2 linked regions of the Ovis aries genome follow. The protein of the gene in region 1 purifies or fractionates together with the protein of each later gene. This does not show direct contact. Links are inferred from orthologs where the notes say so. Each region holds a gene or a part of one and is shown on either strand. Other genes may lie near its edges.

What was found. The genes of interacting proteins can lie anywhere in the genome.
Region 2: the proteins of CUL2 (region 1) and cyclin-dependent kinase inhibitor 2A purify together in Homo sapiens (affinity purification with western blotting; 3 studies listed by BioGRID, with this or other methods). This does not show direct contact. The link is inferred for Ovis aries from reciprocal best matches to the Homo sapiens genes CUL2 and CDKN2A.

The regions. Positions count from the first base shown.
Region 1 is NC_056066.1:17,725,040-17,727,932, reverse strand, and holds the end of CUL2 (cullin-2), read right to left. Parts: intron 2,053-2,893; coding exon 1,936-2,052; intron 1,190-1,935; coding exon 1,058-1,189; 3' UTR 543-1,057; downstream 1-542.
Region 2 is NC_056055.1:90,756,044-90,759,795, forward strand, and holds the start of cyclin-dependent kinase inhibitor 2A, read right to left. Parts: upstream 2,658-3,752; 5' UTR 2,329-2,657; coding exon 2,203-2,328; intron 1-2,202. UniProt on the Homo sapiens protein: Acts as a negative regulator of the proliferation of normal cells by interacting strongly with CDK4 and CDK6. This inhibits their ability to interact with cyclins D and to phosphorylate the retinoblastoma protein.

The sequences.
Region 1 (2,893 bases):
AACTTTCATGTCAATAAAAGCGGCACCTGGTGTAATGCACTATACAGAAAAATAAAGTATTTAGGTTATGCATTGCTAAGAGTATCTGTGACGTAGGAGCGAATCTAGTGTCAAACTGATAGGAGGTGGGAGTAACAGGCAGGCAGGGGTACGAGGGGAACGCACAGGCAGACACCGGGACCGCAGGATGACCTACGACCCCGAGGAAGGCGGGAGGGAAGGAACAGATGGGAGTCAGACATTAGAACTGATGCACTGTGGAGAGAAGTAACACAGCCTGGGTGGGAATGGCGGCTCTTTCTAAGCCAGACACAAGGTCACCGCAATCCCCTCGCTCACAGTTCTGTGCTGCAGCAGGACACCACCAGAAACTCGAGACAGAACCACAGCCTCACTCCTCACAAGGCCCACATCCACTGTAGTTCTAATCCATTAAAAGAAAGCATCACTTATGCTGAACGCATCCTTTATGCTAAAGGCATTCAGAAACAATAACTGAGACGTTTTCACATAGGATTTAAACAGGAACACAAGGACTCACGGACATTTCTGATCATTGTATTGTGATACTCCATCCACATAAAAAAGGCATTCTATTTCTTTATTTTTTTATTTGACAAGCAGCAATATCATGTTTGTCATTTTAATGTAGATACAATTATTAGGTTATCTGTCATATTACAATATTTAGGTTTTTTTTTTAATCTTATGTCCTTTAAGATACATTAAAAAAAAAAAAAAAAAAAAAACCACATCAACTGCAAACGTGAAGGGGAGAAAAAGCATGGTACCCAGCCAGATTTCCACATTTCAGCAATACTTCACTCATCCTTTTTTTAATAAAGTTTTAAGAAATGTCATAATGACATGAGCTTGAAATATCTCTAGGCATCTTCTCTGACGCTCATGACGTGGCACTGGTGATGTTGTAAACAGCAGAGAAACAGGGTCTGCCAAATGACCAAATTATGGAGGCACAGGCCTGCCTTCTCCCACGGGCACACACCGGATGCTGACGGCAACGACCTTCTCACACCGACGCTGGAGGAGCGCCGCCTCACGCGACGTAGCTGTACTCATCCGCGGACGCCTGGCTGCGTTCGATGTACTGTTTGTCTATCAGGACTTCAATACACTTCTTAATCATGCTGATACTAGGGTTAAACCGAGCTCTTGACTGGCTAATCACCTGTGGGAGAGAGGTGGATGGTAAAAATGCTCTTCTCGCCAGGAGCACTTCGTTCAACTCTGCTGCAATGCACAAAAATACCTTTTCATGCAAACTATGTGGAATAGTCTTAACGTTGAGGTGAAGGAATTTAAATGGTGAAGGGCACAGATACAGCCAAACCTAATAACATACTAAATCAAATCGCAAACTAATTAACTATTCATACACGCCCTCGAGCTTCCATTTAATCCCTAAACAACTTCTGGCTCTTAGCTGAAGGAATACCTGCTCAAGAAAGCTTTCCCTAACACCCCCTGAGTCAAGACCTGTGTACACTCTCATTGAACCATATCCCTTTTCTCTGTTGCACATTAGTGTAATTTTATATTTACTGACACATTACTTCAGTAATGCATTTCTTCCTTATGACACTGAACTCCCAAAGGGCAGAAGCCATGTCCTGAGCTGGTGTGCACCCCACGGCGACCAGCACAGTACTCCACCAAACGGGAGACACGTGTGAATTCAAGGCACGAGTGAGTGGTGGATGCCGGCGACCTCCTTCAATAACTGGACACAAGGCTCAGACCTCTAAATCTAAAAGTGAATTTAATACTGGATTTATGAGCGCTGTTCTCTTTCAGAAACAAAAAGCATTTCTTTATGCTATGCAGGAGTCACAGGTTTCTGTATCATCTTCACAAAGAAACATGCCTAATTCTCATACTCTCTGCCAAGAAGTCTTCAGGGCTTTCCCCTTTTACCTCTTGAATAAGGGCGTTATGCCGCAGTACTTTTCTCGCTTTCATGATACGAACTATAGCAGCCTGGAGGTACATTTTCCGGTCTTCGTCTACAGCACTTCTCGTCTGCTCCATTTCCTGTTTTAGGAAGCCCATGAAAAGCAAAGGAGACCCTCAGTCACTGCACTTGTTTTTAACTCCTTTTATTTGTGAGTTTAAATAAATCTCCAATCAATACTGAGAATCAAACTATATGACTATGTGCCCAATATAACATAACCATTACCAAAATATCTATGAGTTATATATAATTTCTCAAGTTAAAGTGGGGAGGCTATTTTTTAAAAAATGAACACTACTGTACATTGTACTCAGTGTAAATAGTCAAGAAAGTAGAACTTAAGTGACACAGAGTAATAAGTCTCAAGATCACGGACCTATGAGTGAGTAAAGACTTATACCACAAAGCTTGCAGACTTTAGCAACTGGCTCCAAGTGGATACTGGATCAGGCTTCAAGGGCAAGAGCTGGGAAGGGCTCCATTTGACTCAAGCAGAGAAGCCAGGAAGGCTGGGCCTCTCTCCGTGGAGCTCAAGGGAAGACAGTGGCAGGAAGGCACAGAAGCAGGCAGTGCCACATTAACAGGGACTTCACAGCAGCTAACAGATAGAAGCACATGTTATCACCATTGCCTACAGGCATGAGATCTTGACCATTTTAGGGGTCAAACTGAATAGCAACTGATTAACATTTGACCTTGGGGGGGAGTTAAGTTCCCAGAGGAGCCTGACATATCTGATACATTCACAACCTGCCTCAAGCCCAAGGTCAGGGTGGCACATGGGAAGCAATAAGGAAATCCTCAGTGATATGAACAGGCTGCCCGAGAAGAACCACCACGTCAACAGCGGATGTTCACGGTGCACACTGGCTCATCCCAGGTCGGACTCTACTCCAGACCTATGAGCTCATCAGTTTG
Region 2 (3,752 bases), on another chromosome or scaffold:
CTTCATTTGGTTCCTAAATAATCTTTGATGATACAAGAGCATTACCAAAGAGGAATTTTGAAATATTGTTCACAATCACAGCAACTTTGCAATTTGAGTGTTATACATTGGGTGGAGGTGATAGAACATTCTTTTTTAGGGTAACCATTATTTGGTTACATTAGCTACACTATATTGAGGAATTATTTATTTTTAGTTGAGTTCTGTATTAAACTTGAATTAATTTGTTCAAACCAAGGAATCTTAACAAGTTATACTATGCTTGTTGAGTTCTATCCTAGAGAAAGTGAAACTGATTTAATTAAAAAAAAAAAAAAAACCACAGAGAAAATTTAAGTGAACCAACTTGCAGCTACAAAAAGGAAAACTAACAGTGCATTAGAAGAAAGAATTTTTTAAAATAAAAACTGGGGAAATTTACACTATTGGATTTCTCATGGATTATGAATTAATTTCCAAAACAAAGGGGCCACACCCAAGGACACCATAATCTTTTGGAAACTCTACTATAAGTGCCAGAGCTCATATATATATATGTATGTCTCCTTCCATGCTTGTATATAATGCAGGTGAAAATATATTACATGGGTTGGATAAATGAAGTCCTTGGTCTTAGTCATTAAATTGGTTAAAGGTATTATTATATGCTACAGTATTAAAGTATGAAAAGTAACATAATATTTAAATCATAGTAGCAATCCAAAGCAAAAAGAAAATCATTCAAATGAATATTTCTAGGGTACTTAAGTCAAACTGAAGATATAAATTTAATTTAGTCATTAAAATTTTTCTATAAACTAAGTATTTTTAAACACAAATTTGGTTAGGGTTCAAAACTAAAATCATATCCCTTTTGTCGATGCCCTTATCCTATTTAAAAATAATTTAAAATTAATTATCTTTCTTTTTGTATTTAAACAATAAAGTCTAATATAACATCTTTCAGAACTAGAAGGCTGTAACACCCAGTCTGCAAACTGCTGGCAAAACTTTAGAGATATCCAATTATGAATCATGCATGCATTTTTTAAAAAAAGAACTCATGCTTCTCTTCTACAACCATTCAACCTTTTAATCTCCAAATCTCTCCACATTTCAAATCCCAAATAATCTCAGATTTGAGGATATTTTATTTTTATTTTTGTATCTAAAAGTATATAAAATATATCTGTTCTATGTAGCATAGTTTGAGGAAAGGACGATTCGCTTGTGAAATCACTTGTTAAGTTCCAGGTTGAGTTACTTTTCCTTTGTCTTGTTATGCTGGAGTTTTTGCAGTGTACATTTCATATAAATATTATTTTTCAGAATCAGAAATCGTTGTCGAAACCTGGAATAAAACTGGAGTGACTGCCAGGAAGAATTTATTTTTAGCCCCAGATTTAGGAAGTTAGTGAAGGCAAAACACACACACACACACACACACACACACACACAGAAAAACGAACTCACAACTCATCCTCACACATACAAAACTGGAGTGGGGAGAGGAGAAATGACATTTTTTAAACTATGAGGAACTGAAAACTTCCCAGGAAATTAATGTATACCAAGTAAGTTTAAAATACCCCAAAAGGTAAGAGACACTCAAGTGGTAACTAAATTGGCAGCATTATTTCAGGCATAATTGCACTAATTTTTTTTTTCATGTATGTCTATTTCCTAAACAAGCATATATGTTCCTTACTCGGTTAAAAAAAAATAATAAACACGATATATGGTTGCTTCTGAATAATTTCAATCGACCTTTATTCCAACTTACACAGCAGTAGATTTCCACTGAAATCTCCCTCTCACCGCCCCTCCCCCCCCAACAAAGAAGTCGATCAGCTCCATTCACAATTTTATAAGTTCGGGAGTAAGTGGTCCAGCATGTCTTACTGTCTTTATACTCGTACTCCAGACGTTCGTCAATTTCGCATATCGGTCTATATTAACACACGTAGGTTCTCCCTTCTAGATCTTCACACCGTTTTAGAGATCTGAACCCCACGCGCCTTCTCAGCCAGCTCCGCGGCCGTCCTGAGCCCCCTGAGAGTCGCCGAGAGGTCTCCGATCCCGAACTCGGTCTGAAAAGTCTCCCCTTTACCAAGAAACGCTTACCTGGTTCCGACTCACTGGCGGACCTCGTCCTCCAAAGCCTCTCGCCATCCACCCACCCACCCAGCCGCCCACCTTTCCGCGGCAGACCTGCTGACCCACCTGAATCGCGCTTCGACCGTAACGGTTCGGCGCGTTGGCCAACGCTCCAGCCTCGAGCAGTGCCCGTACCTCGTCAGCCCGGCCCCGCGCGGCGGCGGCGGCCAGCAAGTCAGCCGAGGTCTCCATGCTGCTCCCCAAAGCTCGCCCCTCGCTCCCTCCCTTCCTCCCGCCTGCGTCGAGCGCGGGCGGCCCGCCCAGGCTGCTCCTGAGCAGCCCGCCCCTCCTCTTTCCTCCTACGGGGCTGGCGGAAGCGGCCCCCAGACTCGGCCCCTCGACTCCTCCCGAGGAGTCTTTCCACCCGGGGAGCGCCCTCCACGCGCTCTTCCAGGAGGCGCCCTTTGCTCCTAACGAACAAGACGTCTATGAAGTAGCCCCCGCCGGGCCTCCTCGGTCACAGGTCTGCCGCCCACGCGACCCGAGGCACCGGCCGGAAGCTGTCCGCTCCGGTAGCGCGACGGGACCGCGAAAGGAGGGCGCCCTGGGACCTCCTCCCCGCCCCCCGCCCCGCGTCCGCGCGCAGCGCGCCCCCACCCCCATCAGAGGCGCACGCGCGGCTCCGAGCGAGTTCACTCCAGCCAAGTGAAAATTCCTCGCGTATACACCCTGAGTGGCGTGAGACAACTGCATAGGATTCCTAACTGCCAAGTTCGAACCAGTGTGTTTGGAGTCATAGGCAAAGTTATTGCTTCCTCTTTTAATCAGAAGAAACAGCCAGCTTGTCCTGGCCCCGAGCGCCCAGGATAGGTATCAGCCATTCCACCATGAGGCTTTCCTTCTTGGAGAGGATACACTCCCCCTCCAACGCTCAGCACCAGGTTTTCGAGCGCTGGCTCGATTATGCCAGAAATTCTAGCTCAAACGTCCCTTCTGGAGAACTGGCTCACGCGCCAGGCTGTGCCTCCCTCCCTCCACACACATGTAAAACGGATGTCGGGGGAGAGCGTTTCCTAGGCTTGCACAATGCCTGGTACTAGTGCCCAGTATACGGGCTGGCTCCGAGCAGATGAGGTCAATTTAAAAGGGATGGTGGAGATTTCTACCTGTACGCAGATAGGAAAGTGGCAAGGGTATCCTTGGGCTTAGTAGGCTCTGTTCTCAATAATTTCTCCTACACCAGAAAACATGCTCATTGCTCTAGGGACAGGGCTGCATTCGGAGATGATTCAGAAAGCAGGCTCACACACTGTCTTGGTGCCACTTCTGTCCACCTTTCCTTCCTGTTAGAAAAACCTTACACTTTTCTTAGTTATAAAATGGAGGGGGGAATAAGAGGTGTCCCTACTTCCTAGGACTGTTTTGAGTTTTAAATGAATTGATACACACATAAGCATTTAGAACAGTATCACACATCCTAAGCTCATGCCTGTTAGCTCTTAACATCCATTTTGAAGATTTTCTTGCAATCTAGGAGACAGAGAAGGAAATGGTTTAGGTAGAATTATCAATATTACATATAAAAGGGCAGGCAAGAAAACCTTAATCACTGAAACAATGATGGACATCTTCCAGTGACCGACATATTTAATGAAAAGTTAATGTTTAATCTGTCT